Saccharomyces cerevisiae S288C: one gene and its partners. Changing the gene in region 1 together with any one later gene gives a genetic interaction. Each region holds a gene or a part of one and is shown in the gene's direction. Other genes may lie near its edges.

What was found.
Region 2: mutations in WHI2 (region 1) and CPR8 together harm fitness more than expected from each alone (negative genetic interaction), as found in Saccharomyces cerevisiae (2 studies listed by BioGRID).
Region 3: mutations in WHI2 (region 1) and AIM4 together harm fitness more than expected from each alone (negative genetic interaction), as found in Saccharomyces cerevisiae (2 studies listed by BioGRID).
Region 4: mutations in WHI2 (region 1) and RTS3 together harm fitness more than expected from each alone (negative genetic interaction), as found in Saccharomyces cerevisiae (2 studies listed by BioGRID).

What each region holds. Positions count from the first base shown.
Region 1 is NC_001147.6:409,105-413,606, forward strand, and holds WHI2 (Whi2p), read left to right. Parts: upstream 1-1,765; coding exon 1,766-3,226; downstream 3,227-4,502. Other genes in the region: ubiquitin-binding protein CUE5, read left to right, coding at 1-556; IRC23 (Irc23p), read left to right, coding at 3,903-4,376. UniProt on the Saccharomyces cerevisiae protein: Plays a role in the coordination of growth and proliferation. Required for entry into G0 phase under conditions of carbon limitation.
Region 2 is NC_001146.8:671,438-679,799, forward strand, and holds CPR8 (peptidylprolyl isomerase family protein CPR8), read left to right. Parts: upstream 1-4,739; coding exon 4,740-5,666; downstream 5,667-8,362. Other genes in the region: SNF12 (Snf12p), read left to right, coding at 1-681; MPP6 (Mpp6p), read left to right, coding at 972-1,532; Sar family guanine nucleotide exchange factor SEC12, read right to left, coding at 1,837-3,252; putative pyridoxal kinase BUD17, read left to right, coding at 3,486-4,439; ZNG1 (GTP-dependent zinc transferase), read right to left, coding at 5,762-7,051; ALG12 (dolichyl-P-Man:Man(7)GlcNAc(2)-PP-dolichol alpha-1,6-mannosyltransferase), read left to right, coding at 7,362-8,362. UniProt on the Saccharomyces cerevisiae protein: PPIases accelerate the folding of proteins. It catalyzes the cis-trans isomerization of proline imidic peptide bonds in oligopeptides.
Region 3 is NC_001134.8:605,092-613,229, forward strand, and holds AIM4 (Aim4p), read left to right. Parts: upstream 1-4,946; coding exon 4,947-5,318; downstream 5,319-8,138. Other genes in the region: 40S ribosomal protein uS4 RPS9B, read left to right, coding at 1-417; 60S ribosomal protein eL21 RPL21A, read left to right, coding at 1,179-1,189, 1,578-2,049; RIM2 (Rim2p), read left to right, coding at 2,561-3,694; RNA polymerase II mediator complex subunit MED8, read right to left, coding at 3,991-4,662; MSI1 (Msi1p), read right to left, coding at 5,523-6,791; PGI1 (glucose-6-phosphate isomerase), read right to left, coding at 7,145-8,138.
Region 4 is NC_001139.9:806,788-815,289, reverse strand, and holds RTS3 (Rts3p), read left to right. Parts: upstream 1-5,869; coding exon 5,870-6,661; downstream 6,662-8,502. Other genes in the region: YGR161W-A (gag protein), read right to left, coding at 2,236-3,552; YGR161W-C (uncharacterized protein), read right to left, coding at 4,785-5,063; NSR1 (Nsr1p), read left to right, coding at 7,634-8,502. UniProt on the Saccharomyces cerevisiae protein: May be a component of a protein phosphatase type 2A (PP2A) complex. Negatively regulates SIT4 phosphatase, a modulators of caffeine sensitivity.

The sequences.
Region 1 (4,502 bases):
GCAATTTGTAGAAAAGGACCTGCCAGAGCTTACGGACAGAGCCGGTCGGTCATTACAGGACACAGCAAACAAAGTTAGTAACTGGATAAGTGATGCTTACCGGAGAAACTTTGCGTCAGGTAATGAGCAAAACGACAACCAACATGGTCACCAAGATCAGCAAGAATGGGAGCCAGAGATTGTGGATTTGTCACAAGGCGGGAAAAATTCAAGACCCCAGCAACCTGAGAGAAGAAGATTCAATTCGTTTGGCGTTCAAGTCGGTGATGACTCTTTAGAAAGCCACGGAATCACACTACACAACGAAGATGGATTTGAAGATGATGAAGATGTGCCACCTCAGTTACCAACGAGAACAAAATCTGGTGAGTCGACTGGAAAAGTAGTGGCAGAGACAACCTACATTGATACTCCAGATACAGAAACGAAGAAGAAATGGCAGCCGCTACCACCGGAACCCCTGGATACTACACCAACTAAAGTAAACGCTGTTTCTAGAAATAAGAAAAATCCGGATGAGGATGAATTCTTAATCAATAGTGACGACGAGATGTAAAGCTGATATCTACGTACATGTGTATACGTGCCAATATTTGGACGCATCTTATTTTACGCGCTTGTGAAGAACTCACTACCTTCTTGAAGGAAGTAAGAAAAAATTTTCAGAATTGTTGATAGTCGTATATCTTCCATTATAACTATTGTTAGCTATTAATTCAGATAATGTAGATAAGATTGAAAACATAAATTCATCATAAAAAAGAATAGGTCTTTTACGGCACCCGTTCAGACACTTTGACACTTCAAAGTATATGCATCAGCACACTTCTGACCATTCTACGTATTGTAACAGCAACATGAGTTCTTTAAAACTCCAATTGACATTTTCGTAATGTGTTTTGCATATCATCTAAATTTCAATGACAGATTTAAAAAGTCAAGTAATTAAAAATTTTCATAAGCGTGCTTTTTTATAGTGCGAAGAACGGCAAAGGCAACCTTAAGAAAAAAAAATGATAGGTTACGTGCTATATCCGGAAAATAAAGAAAGATGAGTAAGAGTTAAAGAAAGAATTCAACCAACCTGATGGGTGTATGAAAATCCCGATTTTATATCGACAGCGCTAGCATGCATGAACAGTGTTTTGACGGTCAAGAAAAAACATAACCTCTGCATAATGTACTTACTTATCAAAACGTTGCAAATCTTGTATGTAAGAGGTGTTTGGGTGTTTTTTCCAAACGACCCGAAGGAGGGCAATTCAAAATAAAAAAAGCAAATTTTATCAGGAAGAGAAGATTTTAGTCAGAACGGGCCATGTTCAATGGCCAATTTCTTATGCTCTAGAGTAATAATTACTAAGGAGGAAAGTAAGACAAAAAACGGTCTATCGTTGTTTTAAGTTTACAGCATAGGCATAGTGATAGAGTGTGAGAGAGTCTCTAACTCGGCGTCAGTTTAGAGTCATTTTTTTCTTTTCTCCCCCCAAAGGTCATAAGAAGATAAGGATCCAAATTTAGAAGACAAAAAAAGTTTTGTTAGAACGTTTATCCCATTAAAAATAAGGGAAAAGAGAAACAACGTTATTTAGTGATTTTTTTAATTGAGAAGCATTTTCTCCAGTGATAATTTAATTGTTTTTTTATTCGGAAAAGAACAGAAAGCGCAAGAAGACAACTCCTTCACACTTAGGCTATTAATTTTCCCGCCTCCCCATTAATTGATAAAGATAAAGGTTGTCTGAGCTTACACTTATTATAAACAATGGACGATATAATCACGCAAGTTTCTCCAGATAATGCAGAGTCCGCTCCGATTCTACAAGAACAGCAACAGCAACAGAACTCACAGTACGAAGGTAACGAGGAGGATTATGGTGATTCATTGATTCATTTGAATATTCAAGAAAACCATTATTTCATTACGAGGGACCAGTTGATGTCTCTACCTGAATCCCTATTACTGTGTTTATTTCCCTCAGGTGTTTTTTTGGACCGTTGTGGTCAGGTCATTACTAATTTGACCAGAGACGATGAGGTCTACATTGTTAATTTCCCTCCTGATTGTTTTGAGTACATCATGGAGATATATACAAAAGCGCATGATGATTTGTATAATCATCCTGTGGAGAAATTTTTTGACAGACCATCAAGTAGCTTTGTTTCGAATGCAAAGGGATTTTTTGGACTGAGTAGCAATAATTCAATTTCGAGCAACAATGAGCAGGATATTTTACATCAAAAGCCCGCTATTATTGTTTTGAGAGAAGACTTGGATTATTATTGTGTACCTCAGGAGGAATTTCAGTTTGATTCCACTAATGAAGAAAATAATGAGGATTTATTGCGACATTTTATGGCTCAAGTGAAAATGGCTGCTGGCAGTTATTTAACTTCAAAAACATCGATTTTCCAAGGTTTGTATTCTTCGAATAGACTAAAGCAACAACAGCAACAACAGAAAATTGAAAAGGGGTCCAATTCTTCTTCAAATACTAAATCTACTTCGAAAAAATTGGGACCTGCTGAACAACATTTAATGGATATGTTGTGCTCCTCCGGATTCACCAAGGAAACTTGTTGGGGTAACAGAACTCAAGAAACTGGCAAAACGGTTATAAGTTCACTGTCTCTTTGCCGATTGGCTAACGAGACAACTGAAGGATTTAGGCAAAAATTTAACGAGGCTAAGGCTAAGTGGGAGGCAGAGCACAAACCTTCTCAAGACAACTTCATCACCCCAATGCAATCTAACATATCGATTAACTCTTTATCTGCAAGTAAATCTAACAGTACCATTTCTACAGCAAGGAATTTAACAAGCGGAAGTACAGCACCTGCTACAGCACGTGATAAGAGAAAATCAAGGCTGTCGAAACTAGCAGATAACGTTCGTTCGCACTCTTCCTCGAGACATAGTTCGCAGACCAGAAGTAAACCTCCGGAGTTGCCCAAATTGTATGATCTAGTGCCAAAACCTAATATCAACGCTAAGCTACTATTATTTTGGAGAAAACCTGCTCGTAAATGTTGGTGGGGTGAAGAAGACATAGAGCTAGAAGTGGAAGTCTTCGGCTCTTGGAAAGATGAATCAAAGAAAATCATTGAATTGATCTTGCCAACAAACGTTGATCCTGAAGCAGAACTACATAAAATCATTGTACCCGTCCGATTACATATTCGTAGAGTTTGGACTTTAGAGTTGAGCGTTATTGGGGTGCAGTGAGTGTATATAATATATTAGAGAAAGAAATGGAAAGAGATCGGGCCAAAGACACAATATGTAACAGTATGGTTTCTTGGTATCCCCTCTTTCTATTCCTCCCTTGTTACGAAATGATGTATATTTGTATCTCTATAACAAAATTATATGAACTGTCTCAAAGCACATGAAGAAGGAAAAAAGGTGGCGTCGAAGACTGCTAGATATTTCTCTTCGTATCTTCCCATCCCCTTCTGCAAATAACGGTTTTTCCATTGTCTATTTCAAAGTTACCCGCATAATAAAGTCGTACATTGTTCGAAAAATATCACTCAAAAGCAGCATTGATCCGGTATAAAACAATAGAAATTTTTTTTTTTTTTTATTGTTATAATTATTCTGACTCACGTCTGGATTTCGTTAGTTCGTCATTTTTTCTTAATTTCAGTAAACTGTGATCACGAGTCTGCAACATCATTATACACCGTATATCTGTATTATTAAGAATCAGGGTCTCCTTTTAATTTGCTGTTGAAAAACATCTTAAGGGAGTGTGATTGTCTGTTGATGTATACTAGTCTGGTAAAGCTAAATATTCTTATAAAAAACTTTTGGTAACCCATTATTACAGGAAACAAGATCCATTTATCAGATAAAAATTATAAAACATTAAGGAATCAGGACCTTTTTTTCGACAATCATGATAGAGGCGTTGGAAATAGTTCTATTGCTCGTTATACAATCACTTCAATATATCTGTCGCACATGCATAGCTTTTTTGCTAATACCATTCTTAGGCCTGTATGCATTCGATCTCTTCCTATACGTTTATCGGATGATACTTTATCTGTCACAAATGTTCAATTACAAGAGAAAACTAGGACGTTCTAAAACAAATAATAGGCCGCATAGTCCCAGGCTACATAAGATATACAGTAGTGGGGATTGCATGGATACCTTAATTGGCCAAGTAAGGGATTTGAGAGTATTTTTGTTATCCACGATCCACAGCCACTCTAAAAGATTCTTTTCTACGAGATTTCAGACAAAATCAGGCATTAACTCTGCTATTGACGCGAATGATGTTGAAACAACATCTGACGTATCTAGTTTTACAAATTTACATTTAACAAGGTCATCGGAAGAAGGTTATTATATCGCAGGATCGATATAATAAAAGAAAATATGGAAAACCCTTTCATGGGTGTTTGCACGGAATTAGGATCACATAATGAATACACACAGGAGGAAAACGGCTCGATACATGATTTGGCCATAACGGCAAAAGCGTATACTCACA
Region 2 (8,362 bases), on another chromosome or scaffold:
TTGCTTACCAATGATGAGTCTGCATTCGAAAATTTGATGGGCAACAGGAACAATCACAATAGCAACACCAGTACTAGTAAGATGCTTGATGCAGCCTCCAGTCAAGTTTCTATTGTAAAATTAGACACTCAGCTTATTACCTTATTACCCAGCAGTCTTAAAGAATCTTCTCCAGATACAATGAAATTAACGGATTTACTGTCCCTTATTAATAGTACTCACCTGCTCCCATTACAGCCAATTGAAATTGATTACACAGTACGCGTTGATAAAGCTTCCACTTATGGTGAGTTGGTTCTTGATATTGAAGTACCTGATGTCAACGCTCTAAAATTCAATAATACACAAAGAGAAAGTCAAATTGGGGCTGCTGAATTGAATGAAAATGCCAGGGAATTGGAACAAATCAAACCCAAGATAGCTTTACAGGACAAAGAAATAACGTCCGTTCTCTCGAATCTACACGAGAGCAACAAACGATACCGTTTCTTCAAGAAAATTAGTGAGGACCCAGTTAAAGCATTAAATGAATGCATTGCTTCTACCTCGAATGCTTTGAAAGTTTTATCGGGAGATGAGGGCTATAATGAAGATATGGTAAGGCGGGCTAACTTTTACAAGGAAAATGAAGCTATGTTGCGCGAGAATATAGAAGTCATATTATCAAATGGACGAATGTAGGCTTCTTTACATTGATACACAATAGACTGAAGATTTATGTAGTTTTCTTTGTATATAAACTCTAGATAGGAAAAGAAAGGTCACCATTCATTTATAATAATTAAAGACGAACAGACAATGCTGATTTGTTTATAGCGCCTACAAGTAATGGCGGCTGTCTGATTCCATTGTCTCTTTCTAAGAAAAGCGCTGAAAATTTTCTACTGGAAATTTCAGAATATGAAAAAGTAGTAGAGATGAGGGCCACTTAAACACAATAAGCATATAAGGAACCAAGGGAAAAGCAACAAATGAGTGCTAACAATGGTGTCACTGGCAAACTCTCTAGTAGAGTCATGAATATGAAGTTTATGAAATTTGGTAAGACGGATGACGAAGAGAGTTCCAACTCCAATACGCCGTCTAATATCAACTCAGATGTGGAACCTATAGAGCAGAAAGGTAAACTCTTTGGTCTGGATGACTCAGCGTGGGACCTCAATAGCTACAAAGATGATTTAAAAAAAATTTCAGGTAAGGAGAAGAAAAAGGTGAAAAGAGTAGTATATAAGAAGCGACCCAATCTCATAATCTCCAACGTTGGTTACAGTGAACTGCGAAAACCTGAGGGTGTGATAAGTGGGAGAAAAACCTTTGGCGATAATTCTGATGATAGTGGTTCCAGGAAGAGAAAGTTTGATGAAGGCGAACAAAATGAAGACGAGAAAAGGGATGCTAAGGATAAGGAATTTACAGGGAGCCAAGACGATGGAGAGGATGAATATGACCTAGATAAATTATTTAAGGATAGCATCAAAAAGAAAAAGACCAACCATAATGGTAAAAATAAAAATAGAAATTCAAAAAAGTAGCGCAGACAATGCACCAGCAGAAGTACGTATTCGTATATAATAATGAGAACATAATATAAAGCATTGTGTAGTATTTTTTTCGTATTTGTCATAAACCATAAGGACTGCCGTCCTTTCTATTACGCTCAATTCCAAAACATATACAAAAACATGTAAATACACCACTTCTAATTTATCAGATAAATCTCTATCATCAATATCATTGAGATCGTTTTTGTATCTTTGCGTTTTTTTTCATAGCTTGAGTGTCGTCACTCTCCTTTTCGCTACTTCATTATTGCTACCTCATAACTTTCTCTCAAGCTCAAGCATCATCTATTTCTCGAAAAGTTGCGTTGGTGATCTCAAACTCTGCCCCTCCAGTATTAATAATGTTACTTTCAGTACATAAGACTTCAGTTCCATTCACAGAACTCGTCTCATGCACGCCATGCACTTTTATGGAATCTACGCTAGGTACAGATGTTTTTGTACCGTGGTTGCCAAACAAAGTTGTTTGATGTAAGTCTTCATCAACTACGTAGGGCGAAGAGATGGTGTCTCTTTTCGTTAGAAAATTGTCCTTCGCGTAATTGAAAAGCATGGAATGCAAATTGTGCTTATAGGAGAACTGTAAAATGTAAGAAAGCAGCACAATAAGGATGAAGTTGGTGAAAAATTTAGAGATTTTTTGTTTCATTGAGGTGTAGTTGGCGTAGTTAAGCGGTAATTTTATTATGTGGATAGTGTTGGCTGCCGAAACACTCGCCACATATGTAGAGTCCGGAGAGATAGTGACCTCTGTAATGGCAAAACTATGAGCTTGTTTGAATATTTTAGACATTGACAGGTCTTTTAGTTTCACAAGAGCTATGGAATTGTCATTACTTGCCAGTACCGCCAATTCACCCTTCATGTCGACATCCATAGAAGTAATCCCTTTGAATCTGTTTGTCACTTGTTTGGATCTTAATACGGAAGTGTTTCCTGATTTGATGCTTATTTTGGTCAGCACAATACCTTTCCCTTTTTTTAAAGAGGCTGCTATCAATACTGTGTCATCGGCTATGAAGTTTATTTTAGATAAACTCCAATTCTTATCAAAATCTGTTTTCCTAGCAATGCAACTTCCAGTCACTGTTGAAATCACTTCCAAGCTAGAACCGGTGATATAAGCAACAACCTTACCATCAGTGGAAAAGTGTAAATCCTTTACTTCACCCCTAGTCTCGATCTCAAACTTCTCTGTCAAGTCGCTCGGGTCAATGATTCTCATTATAGCAGGTACTTTAGATGATGCGATAGCTGCAACGGTACCTTCTCGTGAAATATAAACCAGCTTCGTGTAGTCATCCGCATTTGTAGATGCGTCAAAGTCTACACTAGTGAGGAACTCCAATTGATCATTCACTTTATCGTATTTAAATTTTCTCAAGTGCTTATTACCTTTACCTTGGGTAATCTTAGTGCTATTTTCATTGCAGCCAACCAAAATGATACCCTTGGAAGCGTCAATTGCAGTAGGAGAGTCGTCGTTGTCTTCCAATGCAAACTCGCTCAATATATGAAACTGTTCCTTCTCAGTATCTTTGGTAGGATCCACGCGCAAGACCGTCAGCTTGTTTGGTATGCCATTGTTTCCTTCTCCTCCACCGCCTGCCACAAGTAATGTGTCGTTATTCAAAAATTTTGCACCGTACGCAGGATACCCGACGTTATAACTAGCTGTCACGAACTTCATAGTGGCTCGATTGTATCTCAACCTTGTTATATATCTGTATTTCTATCACGTATCCTTCTAGGTTTCTGTACACGTTTTTGAATTTTTTGGATTTTTTTTTTTTCAACTTTTCTTTTTTCCCTCATTCTTACTCTATTGTCATCACCATTCAAGATAAAGATAATAACTAGCTTTGAGAAATTAGACCAGACGCAGTGGAAGGTTGAATACATGCCTGTGTGAGGGTGGTGCCAATGACCAGTACATTACATACGACAAAAAAAGTGCTCTCCATTCAATCACACGTCATACATGGCTACGTGGGAAACAAGGCCGCTACGTTCCCACTTCAATACAGAGGTTGGGATGTGGACGTATTGAACACAGTTCAGTTTTCTAACCACTCGGGGTACGCCCACTTCACAGGCTTCAAATGCAGCACTGAGGAGTTGGTAGACATTGTAGAGAAGGGCTTGATTGGGTCTCTTAGAATCAAGTATGATGCCGTACTTAGTGGCTATTTACCCAATGTTCAAGCCCTGCAAAAGGTAGCAGGAATAGTGGGTCAATTATGTGAGGGGAGTGAAAACGTCAAGTGGATATTAGATCCTGTACTGGGCGATAATGGAAGGCTGTACGTGGATCGAGAATGTGTTGCGGTATACCAAGACATTTTACAAAACTTCAAAATTTTTTTGGCCACACCAAATCAGTTTGAAATGGAACTGTTGGTGGGGATGTCAATTCGTACCTTAGACGACGCTAAGCAGGCATTTAAACTATTTCATAAAAAGTACCCTCGAGTAAGCCGAATAGTTGTCACTAGTCTGGAATTATCTGAATTCCTGAGCAACGACACTTACGTAGTAGCAGGGTTTGATTGCTCGGCCAGTGAAGAGATATTCTTCTATGAAATCCCCAAGATCAACGCAAAATTTAGTGGAAGTGGTGATTTAATCAGCGCCATGCTCACTGACTCGTTACTAGGCGACCGCCGCTGCACACAGCTGTCATTAAGCGCATCCTTGGGCCAAGTGCTGTGGCTCGTCACCAGTATCCTACAAAAAACGTATGATTTAAACATAGCTGAGCGGGGCCCACAAGATTCCACGATAGATATCAAGGATTTAAAGCTGATTCAGTGTAGAGACATCCTAAAGCAAGATCTCATACCCTCCATTGGCAAGCCAAAAACCATTAAAATATGATTCTTACGAAACGGTATGCTCCTTCCTCATTGGGGTGCGGCTGCTGCAGGAACCTGCCTAAATAGGAAAATACATTCCTGATTTGGAAACTGTAGGCACACGACGCGTCCCTTTGGAGAAGATCGATCCTTCTTTGGGTCTTTCAATTTGATTGGAAAAAAAATATTTAAAAAAATAGAAGAAAAATATAGAATATATAGAATATATAGAATCAACTACTGCAGTAGATAAATAAAGAAGACTATTCATATTCAGTATCACAATTGAAAGATTATTACAATTTGTATACATTGGTTCCCAATGAAGAGCTTTTTTCTTTATCTTTATGTGGCATTCATGTTTAGTTGCATAACGGCTCTGCCATTACCTGTGGATAACAAAAGGGCTTCTTCAGACTCCTTAGACCTAAAGAAAAAATACGCACCAGACCCTCCTATTACACATAATGTAAACATCGGAATTGTTTTCACAGATCCTGAAAGTTCGGAAGAAGCCGGCCGTCTCATAACAATAGACTTATACGGGACTATGGTGCCCAAGACAGTAATGACTTTTTGCCAGTATGTTGATAGTGTAAAAGATCGCCTTGCTTCCCGTCACAGTTACTCGCCAGAACGCGATTTTGATAAAATTCTACCGAATGGAGCTATAGAAGGTAGCTCCGTTTCTTCCTCCTCTATTGAAGAAACGGAAATGTTGGCTCCAAAACTCCCGGAAGAAAATCATAGTTTAATTCATGATAGGCCAGGCAGAGTTTCCATGATTAAGGACGATAAGGGTCTTAAGTTTATAATTGAGACCAGTGAGACGCCACTTGAAGGTGAAAGTGTTGTGTTTGGCCAAGTTACCGCCGGGTTAAAAGATCTGATGGATAAACTAGCTAATGTGAAAACTGACGAAAATGGCAAACCAGAGCAACCAATAACAATAGGTTACATTTCATCCCAGGAACACAGGATTCAGCATGCAAAGGAAGCTCACGAAAAGTATTTACAAAGGCTTCAAGATTACCAAAACGGCGATTTGGAGAAAGGTATTACATTGAAGAATTATTTATACCAGGGTAGTCAAAGAAAGTTAGAAGACGCAAAATATAATCAGCTTCACCATCCTTTACCAAAGATTATGCTTGGTATTTCGGTATTGTTACTTTTCTACGTTTTGGCCAAGTACAGGAAAAGAATATTCAACAGATCGTCTAAAATAGTTTCTATTAGAGAGGATTAAAATGTTTCGATCCATCCGCTTAATATTCATTCATTTTGTATCACATACATACGTATAAATATACATAACTTACCTCGTCTTTATTATGCCAACCATCATTCCAGGGTTTTACGTAACAGTTCCTCTATGGATTCCTTTTCTAGGTACTTCCCAATCAGCACAATTTTACACTCTTTATTGGATCCGTCATATTTGCCTGGAAAGACATCGTAGGTGTCGCGGACGCCTTGGATTACACGAGCAATGGGGTTCTCTCCTTCAATAAGTATCAGACCTTTAGTTCTTTGTACTTCCCAATCACGGCCGTCATCTCGGCGACGCCCTCCCAGCACTGTCATGGCTCCAAAATTCTTCCACAATAAAGGTTGCAAAAATTGCTTAATAAACTTATTATTATATTCTTCCTCGTTTTTTAATGGTCTGAAAGTAAGCATTATTGTGCCCATTCGATCATCATGAATGGTACCGTTTCCGCTACCACTATCTAAGATGTCAGATATCCGTACACTGTCGTATGCATGAATATCTAGTAAATTTTGAATCGGCGTATCACTATACTTGGTGAAGAACATCGGTGCGATAGAATTTATTTCCCGTACTCTTTCTTTTAATTGTTTGACCATTTCTGGTGAATGTTCGATAGTATCGTATTTGTTCATTATAATTCGATCAGCCATGGCTAGTTGGAAGTGTGCAATAGTCAGATTCCCCTCCAAACCAACTTTGTCACCATGCCAATGGGCATCGATGGAAATATCATCTAAGCATTTTAGTATATGCTCACAATCCAAAACCGTGATGATCCCGTCAATGTAAACGCTGCTATTCAATCCTTCGTCCTGCCAGAACATTTTCGCAATGGGGGCGGGATCTGCAATACCGGAGGTCTCTAAAAGGATATAATCGATTTTACCAGGTGAACGCTCCACCATATCTTCGATGGCTTTAACACCTATATTTTTCAACGAACAACACAGACACCCGTTACCCAAATCCAACCATTCTTGGTAGCTGTTCGATCCATTTTTAATGGTCATAGCCTTTTCGATTTCACTAGAATCTCCAAATTCATTTAAAATTACGGCAATTTTTTTATCTGCACCTTTTAATGCAATTTTTTCCAGCAACGTCGATTTACCTGATCCTAGATAGCCGGTAATAATGCTCACAGGAATACGCTTTTTCTCGTGCACATCTGTTGCGCCTGCAGAAGTGTTCTCCACTTGCTTGTTTACCCTTTCAACTTTTGCATCGCTAACAATATTTCCACCATCATACGAGACATTTTCCAAAATTTCTTGTAGATTATTTTCTTCACCTGTTACGAGGCAGGGTAGTTCACCATCTTCTTCTTCATTGAACTTGATGTTTCTCAATGCAGACATTCTTCCGCTTTAAAAGTTGAAAATTCCTCAATGAAAAGGGTGTTCTTGGCTTTACAAGCGCATTAAACATTTAATATTATATAATATTTATAATATACATGTTATTCCAATAGTGAAAAAAAAAAAAAAATGAAAATGAAAATGAAAAATTCGGCCCTTAAAAATGAACAACCTTTTACCAGCCGGCATTAAATGTCGTGGCACTTCACAGTTTATAACGCAAGGAATTTACTAATAGCAAGTGAAACCATTAACGATTAGTGTTGTTAAAAGAGTTGAATAAAGCCATTAAACAACGATTCAGTTGACAATGCGTTGGTCTGTCCTTGATACAGTGCTATTGACCGTGATTTCCTTTCATCTAATCCAAGCTCCATTCACCAAGGTGGAAGAGAGTTTTAATATTCAAGCCATTCATGATATTTTAACCTACAGCGTATTTGATATCTCCCAATATGACCACTTGAAATTTCCTGGAGTAGTCCCTAGAACATTCGTTGGTGCTGTGATTATTGCAATGCTTTCGAGACCTTATCTTTACTTGAGTTCTTTGATCCAAACTTCCAGGCCTACGTCTATAGATGTTCAATTGGTCGTTAGGGGGATTGTTGGCCTCACCAATGGGCTTTCTTTTATCTATTTAAAGAATTGTTTGCAAGATATGTTTGATGAAATCACTGAAAAGAAAAAGGAAGAAAATGAAGACAAGGATATATACATTTACGATAGCGCTGGTACATGGTTTCTTTTATTTTTAATTGGCAGTTTCCACCTCATGTTCTACAGCACTAGGACTCTGCCTAATTTTGTCATGACTCTGCCTCTAACCAACGTCGCATTGGGGTGGGTTTTATTGGGTCGTTATAATGCAGCTATATTCCTATCTGCGCTCGTGGCAATTGTATTTAGACTGGAAGTGTCAGCTCTCAGTGCTGGTATTGCTCTATTTAGCGTCATCTTCAAGAAGATTTCTTTATTCGATGCTATCAAATTCGGTATCTTTGGCTTGGGACTTGGTTCCGCCATCAGTATCACCGTTGATTCATATTTCTGGCAAGAATGGTGTCTACCTGAGGTAGATGGTTTCTTGTTCAACGTGGTTGCGGGTTACGCTTCCAAGTGGGGTGTGGAGCCAGTTACTGCTTATTTCACGCATTACTTGAGAATGATGTTTATGCCACCAACTGTTTTACTATTGAATTACTTCGGCTATAAATTAGCACCTGCAAAATTAAAAATTGTCTCACTAGCATCTCTTTTCCACATTATCGTCTTATCCTTTCAACCTCACAAAGAATGGAGATTCATCAT
Region 3 (8,138 bases), on another chromosome or scaffold:
GACTTGTTAACTAGAGACGAAAAGGACCCAAAGAGATTGTTCGAAGGTAATGCCTTGATCAGAAGATTGGTTAGAGTTGGTGTCTTGTCCGAAGACAAGAAGAAGTTGGATTATGTTTTGGCTTTGAAGGTTGAAGATTTCTTGGAAAGAAGATTGCAAACTCAAGTCTACAAGTTGGGTTTGGCCAAGTCTGTCCACCACGCCAGAGTTTTAATCACTCAAAGACACATTGCTGTTGGTAAGCAAATCGTCAACATCCCATCTTTCATGGTCAGATTGGACTCTGAAAAGCACATTGACTTCGCTCCAACTTCTCCATTCGGTGGTGCTAGACCAGGTAGAGTTGCTAGAAGAAACGCTGCTAGAAAGGCTGAAGCTTCCGGTGAAGCTGCTGAAGAAGCCGAAGACGAAGAATAAATAATTCGCTGATTTCATAACTGTATAATAAATTTTATAACTTTTCAAATCACGGATCATTTTTCATTTTACTTTGTCATTTTTATTTCATTTGAAAATGGGTAGAGGTACATAACTGGCGCTTTTCTTGCAAGATGACATGGCATTGGATGACACAAGTATTACTCAATACCCAACGTAAATAGCTAGAAGATTTTGATCGGATTTAAATTCCCAACTGCAACTCAGTAGCGTTTAGGATTTTACACCTTGGCTTGGAGAAATCCTTATTGTCAGAAATTGAAGCCGTTAATATTTAAAGGCTAATTCTCCATGCCATCTTGCATTCACTTTGGTATATATCTCTTGACCTCAATATATCTCGATAATATAAATCGCAATATTATACTTGTTAGTCTGACAGTTTTACACCTGTACATCTTCACCATCACCACACCCTTTTTTACTGGAGGCAAGGATGAGTTTGAATATCGCCTTTTTCCCAGCCGCTAGAACATGCTCAGAACCGAGGAAAAGCACCGCTGCCAAACCTCCTTTGATGTGTTGGCCCACCGCTACTAGTGGCCGTGCTGGAAGCCCAGGCAGCGGTGGGGGCCACAATACGAGAGCTGGAAAGGTAAACGGTCTCTGCGCCTCTGTGAAATTTTATCACCAATGGAGTGTCATGTCTGGTAAAGATAATATAGAAAGTAGTGTGCAATTTCAGGCATTACCGATTGAACTTTGGAATAAGAGAACCAAGACAAAAATAACTAGCAACAATGGGTAAATCGTATGTCATTTAATCCTATGAATCTACAGCACGAACGAATCATGGTATCTCAAACCGAACATATCGTCACAGAAATAAAAAGATTTAAAGACGTGTCTAGTGTGAATAAAGCAAACATATCATTAGAGCAAAATATTGGGCAGATAAGATGATGCTACACTGATTCTGAGAAAATTACGTGACATGATAGGCTTTTAACGGGCTGTAAGTCATTAGTTTACAGTCGTTGCTTTGAAAATTAGTTCAACATTAGAAGTGTAGTAATTACAAGCCCTTTTTCCAAACATTCGGTTATGTGCTGGGACGCATCTCAGAAACTCGCAAAACAATAGAATACTAACATGATTTCTTATAAATCTTAATTTTGATTTATTTCCTTATAATACAGACACGGTTACAGATCTCGTACTCGTTACATGTTCCAACGTGACTTCAGAAAGCATGGTGCCGTCCATCTTTCTACTTACTTGAAGGTCTACAAGGTTGGTGACATTGTCGACATCAAAGCCAATGGTTCTATCCAAAAGGGTATGCCACACAAGTTTTACCAAGGTAAGACCGGTGTTGTCTACAACGTTACTAAGTCTTCTGTTGGTGTTATCATCAACAAGATGGTCGGTAACAGATATCTAGAAAAAAGATTAAACTTAAGAGTTGAACACATCAAGCACTCCAAGTGTAGACAAGAATTTTTGGAAAGAGTTAAGGCCAATGCTGCTAAGCGTGCTGAAGCTAAGGCTCAAGGTGTTGCTGTTCAATTGAAGAGACAACCAGCTCAACCAAGAGAATCCCGTATCGTTTCTACTGAAGGTAACGTTCCTCAAACTTTGGCCCCAGTTCCATACGAAACTTTCATCTAATTTACCCGATGCTGGTTTTGTATCGAAAAAGATTTTCAGGTTTTAGGTTTTATTTTTTGTCTATTTTTAAATATATAATATAATAAAAAATAAATTGTGTCTAATATCCATAATTTGTACATTTAGATTATTTCTTTTGGTTCTTTATTCTGACCTATATAGACTACTCAACACAGTCACTTCATGTCATCCAGATATTACTTGCGTTGAGCATCTCTTTTGAATCCTCGCTTCGGGCTCTCTCTTAGTGAAAAATTAACCTTACGCCAAAATCCAAGAAGTAAAATTAAAAAGAATAATGGTAAAAGTCTAACTTCACATAGAGAATTCAACTTTGTATAAAGGGGTAGCCTTGTTCTCTATAGAAACTGTTCTTTGAAGTACTGCTAACTGAGGTAAAAAAATCGGACGATTTTGTCTTTACGTGGTCCTATATTTATTGTGTCAAAGTCACCTACTTACTTACATAGTTGACCATTCTCATATCCCATAATTTTTCAAGGAGATAAAGATGCCTAAAAAATCCATTGAAGAATGGGAAGAGGATGCCATTGAATCAGTTCCATATTTAGCAAGTGATGAAAAGGGCTCTAATTATAAGGAAGCTACACAAATTCCACTAAATTTGAAGCAATCTGAAATTGAAAATCATCCAACAGTAAAACCATGGGTTCATTTTGTTGCTGGGGGTATTGGAGGAATGGCGGGTGCAGTTGTTACGTGTCCCTTTGATTTGGTGAAGACCCGATTACAAAGTGATATATTTTTGAAAGCATACAAATCACAAGCTGTTAATATCAGTAAAGGATCTACTCGTCCAAAGAGTATTAATTATGTCATTCAAGCAGGAACCCATTTCAAGGAAACACTGGGAATCATAGGCAATGTGTACAAACAAGAGGGTTTTAGAAGCTTGTTTAAGGGTTTGGGCCCCAATTTAGTCGGGGTTATTCCAGCAAGAAGTATTAATTTTTTTACCTATGGAACTACTAAAGATATGTATGCTAAAGCGTTCAATAATGGCCAAGAAACACCTATGATTCATCTGATGGCTGCTGCAACCGCAGGTTGGGCAACGGCGACGGCAACCAATCCTATTTGGTTGATTAAAACAAGAGTACAGCTTGATAAAGCTGGGAAAACATCGGTCCGACAGTACAAGAACTCTTGGGATTGCTTAAAAAGTGTTATAAGAAATGAGGGTTTCACTGGCTTGTACAAAGGGTTGAGTGCCTCTTATTTGGGTTCTGTTGAAGGTATACTTCAATGGCTATTATATGAACAAATGAAGAGGTTAATAAAGGAAAGGTCTATTGAGAAATTTGGATATCAAGCCGAAGGTACAAAAAGCACATCAGAGAAAGTCAAGGAGTGGTGTCAAAGATCAGGAAGCGCTGGTCTTGCAAAATTTGTGGCTAGTATAGCAACATATCCGCACGAAGTTGTCAGGACGAGATTGAGACAAACGCCCAAGGAAAATGGTAAACGAAAGTATACAGGTTTAGTACAAAGTTTCAAAGTTATAATTAAAGAAGAGGGACTCTTTTCAATGTATAGTGGGTTGACCCCGCATTTGATGAGAACAGTTCCGAACAGTATAATTATGTTTGGTACATGGGAAATTGTTATAAGGCTACTATCGTAGCCTTGAAATCTAAAAAACTCTAAATTCACTTTAGGGCCAAGACATACTCTAACAAAAAAGTATGAAAAAAGTGCATTTTGTAAGGATATAAAGCCTGTCAAAGTTTATAGAAAGCTAACCTACTAAGGTTTGGACCCCTTCGTTTCTTCTCCTTTACTTTGCATTATTTATCGTAACATATCAATGATCCTTATTTACTTCATTCAGTAAATTGGTCCTTTTATACTTGTAAATATTTTTACCAGGTCACTAGTAACAATAAAATGTTTTAAAATATCAGTAGCGTGAAGTAAAATTCAATTACTAGATGATGTTGAAGTAGATCCCGTAATAATGGGCTTTTCCCCTGTGAAGGTGAACTTTAGAACATCATCCACATTGAAAGGTTTCGAAGGTTTGCTATCTCGTACTAGAAGTGAAGCGTGTTCTTCGCTTAGGGATTCTTCATTTTTGAAATCGTGCTTTCCATATTCGTTTCTAAACGTAGTGCGCGCCCAATTCGTTATTTCTCTGTCCTGTTGCAGCAGCTTTTCTATTTCTTCATCCTTTAGCAAGGCTGTAGTTACTCCAGATGTTTCCCTAACATATTTCATCCATTCGTCCACTTCAGGAATATTCTTCTTCCTCAAAAGGGTAGTGACCAAACTTTCATGAGAGGTGGTTGGGAATTTAGGCAAAGGGTAAACCACTGTAGAGTCTAAAGTTTCTTGGAAATGTTGTAGAGTGGAGGTTACAGAAACGAGCTGGGATAATGTGACATTCAGTTGTGATTGGAGTGTATACCATTGTGGCAGTTCGGCTTTGGACATTTCGTCTCTGATTCTCCTCAATGAATGAGTTAATTGAGCCAAACGCATGCGCACGGCATCTAAAGCCTGGCCAGGTACACCATTGAAATCAAAACTAACATCTTCTTGGAGGGAGCCTTGATTGCCCTCTGGTACCAGTGATGCAGTAGATTGTGACATATTCCACGTTGCTTTATGTTTTTCTTTTGTTCTTCTTGCTCGGGGTTCTCTTATATCGATGAAATATTTCAATATTAAAATCCTTAACTTTGACGAAAAGGCAATTTTTGTATATTGAGTTTCCTTACTTTTTTGAACAGAACGTACTTTTAGACACTTTGCAAAGGCCTTCAGCAAATTTTTTTGATTATTTTCAAATATCAAGGAAATATATTACCTTCAAAGTCATCCAATCCTTTTAGTTCTCGCATTCCATCATTTTATACTATATACGTTTGAGCTTAATGGATCAAAAGAAGGACCCAAGTAATAACTTAACAGAAAGAAGGGTTTCCAAGGTCCAACGCCCAAATAAGAAAAAGGTACGAAATCAAGTTGAATCACTTTCTAGAAACCTAGAGAGAAATAAAGAGGGACAGCTTCTGCAGACTGTATCAAAAGGTCATTTAGAAGCTGATTCTGGACACTCACTGGGTCGTGAAAAAGAGAACGGTGAACTCGGTATAAGAAGTATATTTTACGATAAAGACTGGAATCCAAGAGGCACTGCACCATCACATTACAGAAATATACCTTATAATCCTGCCACTTTCAAAAGGCGAACTGAAGTTCAAGCCAGACTGGGAAACCTCGAGAATATCAAAATACCAAAGTGAAAGTTCAAAGGTAATAAATGAGCAACCACTTTCTTCGAAATACAATATTGAAATCAGCATGAAGTCTGAGCGTAGTGTTTATTGTAGCAAGTCTTGAGCATATTTTATAAACTCTATTTATGTTTGTATATTCGTCTATCAAATGGTTGAATATGTAATAGGGACAGGAGCCATTAGCATGCCTGGCTTCAAGGAACGTTTAGGTCACGAATGTCCAACAAGGTTTCCTGCAGGTTTCCATATGTGAACTGAATTATCATTTGCCACACTGCACATTAACCAAGGGTCATGAGCGTCCCACGAAATGTCGTTCACACCGAGCATATGACCACCATGGGTAAATATAGTTTCTTCGCAGGAGGTATCCCATAGCTTGACTAACCCATCTTCTTGGCCAGCCGTTGCCAATACAGTATCGAAATTTGGACTCCATTCTAAAGTTGAAACGGAAGTACCGTGCTCCATGGTAGCGATTGGGCTTTTGTTCATGTTTCTAATATCCCATAAATTTAGCCTCCCATTTGAATCTGCAGATGCTAGAATTAAAGAGTTCTTATAGTTAAATCTACAGGAGTTTACTCCACCATCGTGTTTTTCACGGTTACTCTGGAGCTTCTCTTTCTTAGTCCTCAGATCTAATAGGGAGACCGCATTTCCTTCAGTACAAGCAGCAAAGAGGGAATCGTGTGTTGGCATCCAAGTTACATCATTCACCGCTGTTCCGTCGCTGTTTATTGACACTAAGGGTAAATCTATTATAGGGTTCTCATGCGAATATTGTTTAATGTCCCAAACTTGAACTTGGCCGTTGGAGTGAGAAGAAAGTAAAAGGGCCTCCTGCTGCAAGTTCCAGGCTAAAGAAGTCGCCTCATTTATATCTGCCGAAGAAGTATCCATTGCCTCCACGTCTTGAATAACACCATGTGAACCAAACAGCTTTGTCTCAAAGGGATGTGAAATTTTGGACTGTCTTATTCTAGTAGAGCCGTGTTTTGTTCTATCGAATATGTAGATTGCACCATCTGAAGAGGCGCCGGCTATAATATCTGGATTTTGAGGCAAATATCTTGCCCTATTGCATTCCCCGTTTGGGAAGAAAATACTGATGTCATTTACTAAGTGTTTGGAGGGAAACCTTGTCGAGTTCTCCGGTTTGAATTCCATTTCGTCCATGTCGAAATTATTTAAAGATGACCATTTTATATGACCCAACGTGGATATTTTGCTAATATATATGGTCTCATCTTCAGGTTTTTGGGAAGATGTAAATGAGGATAACAAGATGCGATGCTCATCCGAAGTGGTATCTAAATCAGGAAAGAACTGGCACGTTAAGGACGGCCACTTTGTTGAATTCGTGTTTAGGTAATCATAAAGTAGTTTAGTGTTTTTCTTCCAGTGCGAGTATCTTTCTTGCAAATCGATGGGTATACTGGAGGCTTCATGAGTTATGTCCTTCGCGCACTGATTCATCTTTGAAACTAAATTTGTATATTGTTTGTCAGAAATAGGACCTGATATCCTCCTTTTAAACAGTTGATGAGAACCTTTTTCGCAAGTTCAAGGTGCTCTAATTTTTAAAATTTTTACTTTTCGCGACACAATAAAGTCTTCACGACGCTAAACTATTAGTGCACATAATGTAGTTACTTGGACGCTGTTCAATAATGTATAAAATTTATTTCCTTTGCATTACGTACATTATATAACCAAATCTTAAAAATATAGAAATATGATATGTGTATAATAATATAAGCAAAATTTACGTATCTTTGCTTATAATATAGCTTTAATGTTCTTTAGGTATATATTTAAGAGCGATTTGTTCACATCCATTCCTTGAATTGATTGATTAAACCGTTGGTAGAAGCATCGTGGGTAGAAATGGTGGAGGAGTTGTCCAATTCCTTGCCGATGACTTTAGCCAAGACTTTACCCAATTCAACACCCCATTGGTCGAAAGAGTTGATATTCCAAATGGCACCTTCAGTGAAAGTAACATGTTCGTAGTAGGCAATCAAAGCACCCAAAGTAGCTGGAGTAATCTTTTGAGCCAAGATAGAGGTAGTTGGTCTGTTACCTGAGAAGACCTTGTGTGGGACCAAACCACCAGTGGCACCTTCAGCCTTAACTTGTTCTTCATCCTTACCAACCATTAAAGCTTCAGCTTGAGCAAAGAAGTTTGAAGCCAACATCTTTTGATGTAATTTGTTCTCAATTGGGTTATGAGATTGAGCAGCTAAGATGAAATCAGATGGAATCAACTTGGTACCTTGGTGAACCAATTGGAAGAAAGAGTGTTGAGCGTTGGTAGCTGGTTCACCAAACAAGATAGAACCAGTAGAGTAGTCAGTAAACACGTTACCTCTGGTAACAGACTTACCGTTAGATTCCATTGACAATTGTTGCAAGTAGGCTGGGAATCTGTGCAAGTATTGGTCGAATGGAGCAACCAAATGGGTTTGAGCACCAAAGAAGTTGTTGTACCAGACAGACAACAAACCACCCAACAATGGAATGTTGTCTTCCAATGGGGTTTGGGTGAAGTGGTTGTCGACGGCTTCAGCACCCTTCAAGAAAGCCTCAAAGTTGTCATAGCCAATGTACAAGGCAACAGACAAACCAATAGCCGACCAGACAGAGTAACGACCACCGACCCAACTTTCGAAACCAAACATGTTTTTGGTGTCAATACCGAACTTGGCAACTTCGGTTTCGTTAGTGGACAAAGCAGCGAAATGCTTAGCAATGTGAGATGGATCATTACCTGTCTTCGACAAGAACCAGTTCTTGGCAGTGTTAGCGTTAGTGATAGTTTCA
Region 4 (8,502 bases), on another chromosome or scaffold:
GAATCATCCATACCACCCAAACTGGAATTAGTCTGACGAGAGTGTATGTGTGGAATATCTTTTGAAACATCAGAAGTGTCCGTAGGAGATTTATGGGTTAAGTCAGGAAGTGGGAGGTCGTCAAGAATAGAATCAGCCGTAACATTTTTTGAGGATTTGTCAGGCATTATATTAGGAGTCGCATGGTCAGAAGATCGATATTCTGGCGGATCCGTATCAATGGAGGGTGTATTATCACATACAGCCTTTGTTTCTATGGAGATGATGGGAGTAGTGGATTCACTGTTGGACGAACGGTCATCTATTGAGGGCGTACTATTTGTAGTCCTGTATTTGATATTTGTATCACTATTTCGTTGAATATATGGTTCCTCCGTACCACCCAAACGTGTAGTTTTGATGTTTTCAAGTCCATAATTAACTCTATCCTGTGAGGTCAAATCAATCATCTCATTGGTACTACCAGGTCGGTTTTGGTTTCGTGCAGTGAAGGTAGACGAGTGTCTAGGTGAAGTAGTATCTGATTCAACGGTACCACCCATTTCGGTACTCTCTTTATTAATGATATGGGGTGTACGAGATCGTATAGTAGATGGAAGAATATTGTATTCAGATATGTCGGCATCAACTTCTTTTGGTGCACGTACTTTTTGGACTGGTTCCTTGTCTAATTGTAAAGGGTTTATTGATTGGGACGAGAAGTCGTTCACTAGAGGATCAGAGTTTATTTCAATCTCCGATTGATAGTCATGATCAGATTCTGTATTTTGATCATATGACTGCTCCGTTTCATTTTGTTCAATAAAAGATTGGTTATGGGCTGTTAAACGATTGAGATCATCATCAAAGGTGAGTGTATCATAATTGAATTGGTCCAATTTGGATTGCTTGTCTTGTAATATAACGTAATTGGTAGTATCTACTGTCTTTTTTAATGATGGAAGATAGATAATATAGCCATAAGAGTTTCGTGACGGATGTAAGGCGTAACCTGGAATGCCACGAGGATGTATTTTCGAGTCGGGATTATGGTTGTTAACTATAACCGGTTGACCGAAAGGTAGTATAGTAGTAATGTCCAGTCCAGCTAAACCTGCATGTTGTCTTGCAGATTTATCGTTTTTTGGTGAGACTAATGAATTTCTGATTATAGTAGAAAATTCGACTGCTGAGAACCATAGATGATTTGGTAGACCACTGCAATGAAGCAGTGTGCGACAATCGTTTAATAAAGTACGATTTAATCGTTCAGCGACACCGTGTGCTCTAGAATCTGCCGTGGTTGTATAGCATGCAGTAATACCTCTGTTCGTAAAGAACTTATGAAGAGTTTTGTTAGTGTACTCGGAGCCACGATCCATCTGGATAACTAGAACGCGAGCATTGAATTGGTTCTTAATAAATGCTAATATCGATGTAAAAACATTGAGGATAGATTCTTCACGACGGTCGTGTAATGGGTACACCCATTGGAATCTGGTTTTCTCATCTGTAAACGATATAAAGTAAGAAGGTGCACTTTTCGGTAAGTGATGTACAGGACCAAATATATCGGTGTGCAAGTACTGAAAAGGCTCATATGATTCTTGGTACTTTAGTCGTGATCCTTTGACATGTCTATGTTTCGTGCTTTTGCCGATTAGACAGTCAGGACATTGATATGTGCTAGCGTTAGACCATTCAATATCCGATTCCTTCAAATATGTAACTGCATTCTTCTTAAGAGACTTCTGAATACTTCGGAAGTTAGCATGTCCAAGCATTCGATGTATTAACGGATATGGATATTTATTTACGCTTTTGCTTTTGTTGACGTTGTTTATTGTTAGCTTTGAAATGTGCGAAGGAATTAGGTATTTTTTAGATAACCAGTAAAAGTCTCCATGTTTGACTATGGGAGCTAGTACTGTACCATCCGATCTTTCTAAAGTGTTTCTGGTAAAGCAGGCAGTAATATTTTGATTAGCCAGCTCACTCAAACTTAATAGATCATAGGCTATGTTTGGTGTGTGTAGTGCTTTTATTGATGTTTTGGTGCCGTTCTGAAAGTTGAAGTGAAGATTACCAATGGCATTTATAGGAATGTCTTGTTTTTGAGCATCGACTATGTTTATTTCAGAATTGGGTGTTGCATGGTGTAAATAATGGGCTGATCTGACAAGCGTTTGCGAAGCTCCTGAATCAATAAGAAGGTGATCAGGTAGTTCGTCATTCGAGTCTATTGTGTGTGTTGGCTTAGATTCTTTCTGTTGCTGGCCTAAGACTAAGTTCGTTGTCATCGCTTAAGTATTGTGATGAAACGGTTGATTCATTAATGTGATCATTGTTCACCCTTGAGAATTTACTAGATGTAGCAATATTGTGAGCTTTTGCTGCTCTTGGTTTTGAACTATTTGTTCTATGATAATTACGAGTTGTAACCTTTGTGTTAGTCGTGTTTGGAGATGTGCGAGAAACATTTTTGTATTCGCTGTGTTGTTTGTATTGGGACGGTTTATTTAGATTCATGATTTTATTTTCGTCATATATTAACTGAATTTCAGCGAATAATTGGGAAAGTTTCATGTTCGTTTTGGTACGATATTGATTACGTAGGTATTTGAAGTCACCGGATAGACCTTTAAGTATTAGTTGACAGGCCAATCTGTCGCTAACATTGATATTGTTTTCTTTTAGCCTCTGAATGATCGTACTGACTGTAATTTCAAATGTATCAGCAGATGTACTTCCGTCGTACTCAAGGTTGGCAAGAGCTATCCAATCCTTTAATTCTTGATTGTTAGTTTGCATTTTGGACACACTTTTACAAAGGACTGTAAGGATGTCAGCATAATTAATTTCTAAAATTTGTTTTACCCATGTTGGCAATAAATGAAATGGGGCAAATGCTTGGAAGGTATTGTATATATACGCATGTTCTTCATAAGTCATTTGACTTTTGATTTCACCCTGGTCATTTGGAATGATGTCACCGAGATTAGAGTTCTTCAAAAATCTGATGTAAAATTTAACCCATGTAGAAAAGTTTTCTTCTGATGTTAAAGTGTGTGGTGGTAAGACGTTATTTCTCACCTTTGTCTCAGCTTGAGGTACTTCAGAGTGTTGATTCTGTGAATCGATTGGATCAGGTGAGGAAGTACTCAGTGGTGGGATATACTGTGGCAACGGATAGTGTGGGTCCGGTTGATAATACGCAGGTGACGTTTGATAATGTGAACACGTCATCATAGACGGTTGTTGGTAATGTGCCCAGTTAGAGGCCATAGCTTTGTTTGGGGTCATCATGCCGTGCTGTTGGTACTGTCCATTCTGTGGAGGTGGTACTGAAGCAGGTTGAGGAGAGACATGATGATGGTTCTCTGGAACAGCTGATGTCCCAGGTGTTGTCTCTTGTTGAGAATTAACCTTAGTGGAATCTCTATCAAATTCCGGTAAATTGGAAGCTGAAACGGCTAACGGATCTTGATTTGATGGGACTTCCTTAGAAGTAACCGAAGCATAGGCGCTACCATGTAGAGAATGTGGATTTTGATGTAATTGTTGGGATTCCATTTTTGATAAGGCAATAATATTAGGTATGTAGATATACTAGAAGTTCTCCTCGAGGATTTAGGAATCCATAAAAGGGAATCTGCAATTCTACACAATTCTATAAATATTATTATCATCATTTTATATGTTAATATTCATTGATCCTATTACATTATCAATCCTTGCGTTTCAGCTTCCACTAATTTAGATGACTATTTCTCATCATTTGCGTCATCTTCTAACACCGTATATGATAATATACTAGTAACGTAAATACTAGTTAGTAGATGATAGTTGATTTTTATTCCAACAATATATATAAATTGCTGTAATCTAGAAAACTACAATGTGAATGCTAGTTACGTGGAAACAGAAGAATTAGTTTGAGTTTATATCTGGATTTCCTTTGATATATGGATAAGTAAGCTCGCTACGTGACATAAATATTTGAATAAGAATCAGAATTAGTGGGGCGATAAAGCAATTTCCGATCACCTCTCATGCGAATATACACTTTGCACACGTACTACCGCAAGCATTGTTATTTTTAAGGCACCTTTGACATGGCCAACGAGCGTTCATCTTTTATACCCCTTTCATAACTATATGAAGGTGTACGATTATTTTGAATGACTACTACAATTTAGCCGCTAATTATCAACATGAATCAAGCGGCTTATAATGCACTAAAATAATGTATCGTTGTACGATAGGTACATTATCGTTTCTACCATTGCAGAAATACGCGGCTCATATTTTACAAATCTTGGATTTTCGTGGTGAGGGGACCTGAGGGTTGTAGAAAATGTGACGTAGCGGAGATTCAAAAGAACGAAAACAAAATAGTAGATACCCCGCTCTGTGAGTTTCTTCAAGGGTTCGACAAATGAATTTAGATACCGTTCAAATTTTTGATTTTCTTGGCGTTCTAAGAATGTCCTATCACAGCCTTGCCACTATCTGACTGACGGAGAAGAACATTGAGATATGATGTTACATTTTTTTATATTCATGAATATTAGTGCGTATTTACAGTGAAAAGCAATCGTCCAGAAATGCATAAACGAAGAATCGATATATAAAACACATTGTATTATAAACTAAGTAACACGTCATCTTCTGCACCTCCCATTGCGACTTCTTTGAGTTCAATCTGTAAGCTAATCGTATGCCGTTTTTCAAACGTGTTTGAGTAGAAAAGTAGCCACCATATGTGCACGGTGAGCACAAAACGTATAGCTCGCATCAGGCGTTCACCAGCCTTGAATTCGGCTCTGTCTCAAGGAAGGATTAGTACTCGGACACGCCGTCGCCGTCTCTTGCAATAAGTCCATGTTCTTGCTCTGGAATAAGGTGAACTCTTTAAGTATTTTCTCTTCTAGGCTCAGTTCTCCGAGTTGTAGGGCAAAATCAACCATGCCACTACTGCCATGATCGCTGCTTGTGCCAGTAGCATCACCTATGAAGCCCTGATCGGCTTGAATATTTGCGAAATGTGCATTCGAAGAAAGATGGTTGAAGTATCCAGACATAATGCTGTATAATGTTGACTATAATCGGTTGTTTTAGCTCTGTGGTATACTACAGATGTGCTAAAATATGCCGAAATCACCACAATATACAATAAATACGATATCATCATGGACGCATGCACGACATATTACAAGGCGGGGGAAAGAAGAAACGGAGCGCCAGAGCCACAACGAGGAAGCGGGTTTGTGGCTCTCACATCACAGCCCGCCCCTACCAAGATCGTAAGCAACGTGTTCAACACGTACCAAAAAACCATAATGGCAAGCCAGCGTTTACCTCACCCGCGGATGACACATCCTGCTCTTACATATGATCGCGGGCTGTCCACAAAAAACAACCTGGAAATACCAAATTTGGCAGCTACCGCGGAGTAGTGGTCATGACGGAGAGAGTTGCCAAAAAGTGACTGACTCGACTCCCCTCACAGCCCGGATCAATTTTTCCATGCGTTTCCACGGAAATCCGAGGTTTGCCGTTAGAGTCCCAAATTGGCGATGGATGATGAGATAATGCGCCCTTATCAATCACGCTAAAAATTGCCCCACGCTGTACTCAACGATCATAGCTGGCTATTGTTATCGTTGGCTTAGATGGTTTCGCCCGTACAAAAATAGACTTGCATATATATAAAGCTTATCTTCGGCCTCAGTCGTCTAAAAAACTATCTTGCCTAACATTATCTTGTCTTCTTTTCGTTCCCTTGAATCATATATAAGAAAAGATAATCAATCATTCGGCTATTTTCTTACAGATACATACATACGTATAATTCATCAATCATAGCATTAATAGAAGATAAAGTATAATGATCGCTACCTCCAGAGCCGTAAACATGAATAAAGAATCAAAACACAAGAAGGCTGTTGCCAAACCATGCAGAGAGAGACAAACTTCAGTTACAAGAGCCATGAGACCAGCTGTAGCACGTGATCCTCGCAGACTTTCGACGTCGTCGTCTCCTTCTTCGTCACCAATGTCAGCACAGAGAAGGCTTTCGAGGGAAGAAATAATAAACGAAATGGAAAAGGAGCAAGACGCTATTGTAGTAAGACTTCTACGGGAAATTGAAACTTTAAAAGAAGAAAACTCTAGGTTAAAAAATCAACTGCACCATCCGGTCCCGGCTAGAAGGTCGTCTCCATTTTTCGAAGGCGAGTCTGCCATCCTAGATGATGATGACTGCAATTATGGTTACACCCTCGACACTCCAAAGCTAAAGCTCACAGATGGTGCATCCAGACACACCGTACTTCCCTTAACACCCAAGGACTCCATGACCCACATTTCCCATTCCGCCAGAAGGTCAAGCCGGAACGCTTCCATATCTAACGGAACAAGCATCTCAGACACGATTTTCCCCATTGAGACTAAAATCCACTCAGCACCAACAACAAACAGAAACCTTCCCTCCGCCGATCTTCCACATCACACTCTTCTTCCACGTTCTCTAAGCGGCATTTCGTCTAGCGATTTAACCGAATCCGGTGCTCTTCTTCATGACAGGAGAAGGCGTTCTTCCAATTACAGTCTCGATGGCTCAAACTCTTTAAAGGCTGATCTCATGGCAAAGAGATTCCAAACTGGTTCATTGAAATAGGCTGTAAGCGAGATACATAAGAAAACAGAGTTTCTCTAAATATATTCTTCCTATTGATCTTTGGCAATCCAACACATATGCAGTTCGTGCACTTGCGTTATAAGCGTGACTTCTCGCTTGGTTTTTTTTTATAATTTTTTTTTAAAACCTCATTCTAAGTACAACTTTGGCGTTTTTCCAAGCTACTACTTATAATTATATGGTTTATTTCATAAATATATATATATATATATATATATATAGAAAATCAATATACATTTAAGCCTTACTGGAGATGACACTATTTTTGTTCACATTTTTTCTTATGCTCTAAATACCTCGGCCTCATACGCAGAGACAGTGTTGATATGTTTTTATACAAAGTAAAGGCAAAGAGAAGGCACAGACAGGATTTCACAGGCAGCTAAGTAATAACGAATATGCTTGCTTCACATATTTTGCCGCCAAATTACACGCTATGGAGCTACGTTCTACTAGTGGTTACTTACCGCTAGCTATTTAAACCCCATCACGTTGATTGTCTATTTCGCTATAGGTTATTTTGCCAAGAAAACTTACTGGGCAATACTTACATCCATTCAGATTTTTGGATAAAGCAATTGAAGAAAGACGACAGCAATTCGACTGGTGGTTGTTAATTACCCTTTGATCCTCTGATTTAAAGACGTAATCCTTCCTGGGGGTAAGTGCCTGATGTATGGGTCCCCATGCCCTTTTTTTTCGTTTCTTTTTTCACTCCATTTCTTTTTTTTTTTTTTTTTTTGGTGAAAAATTTGCAAGGGCAGCTCATCGCAAGAACGAAAATTTTCAATCCAATATTAAAAGTACTTAAGTGTAGCTGTTGCTGTCTGCACTTCCCAATCCATTGGTACCTTAAGTTATTTCCTTTCGTAGTATTTTTCTTACTTTTGCTTCCCAAAGACGAACTGTTAACCAATTTCGGATCACTCAACCCAGGCAGGATAAAATAAGATGGCTAAGACTACTAAAGTAAAAGGTAACAAGAAGGAAGTTAAGGCTTCCAAACAAGCCAAAGAAGAAAAAGCTAAGGCCGTCTCTTCCTCTTCCTCCGAATCTTCATCCTCATCTTCATCTTCATCTGAATCTGAATCTGAGTCTGAGTCTGAATCTGAATCTTCATCTTCATCTTCATCCTCTGATTCTGAATCCTCTTCTTCATCGTCTTCTGACAGCGAAAGTGAAGCTGAAACCAAGAAGGAAGAATCCAAGGATTCCTCTTCCTCTTCCTCTGACTCTTCTTCCGACGAAGAAGAAGAAGAAGAAAAAGAAGAAACCAAGAAGGAAGAATCAAAAGAATCTTCTAGCTCTGATTCATCCTCATCTTCATCTTCTGATAGCGAAAGCGAAAAGGAAGAGTCTAACGATAAGAAACGTAAATCTGAGGACGCCGAAGAAGAAGAAGACGAAGAGTCTTCCAACAAGAAGCAAAAAAATGAAGAAACCGAAGAACCAGCTACTATTTTCGTTGGTAGACTATCGTGGTCTATTGATGACGAATGGTTGAAGAAGGAATTCGAACACATCGGTGGTGTCATTGGTGCCAGAGTTATTTATGAAAGAGGTACCGATAGATCTCGTGGTTATGGTTACGTTGATTTTGAAAACAAATCTTATGCTGAAAAGGCCATTCAAGAAATGCAAGGTAAGGAAATTGATGGTAGACCAATCAACTGTGATATGTCCACAAGCAAGCCAGCTGGTAACAACGATCGTGCCAAGAAATTCGGTGATACCCCATCTGAACCATCTGACACTTTGTTCTTGGGTAACTTATCTTTCAATGCTGACAGAGACGCTATTTTCGAATTATTCGCTAAACA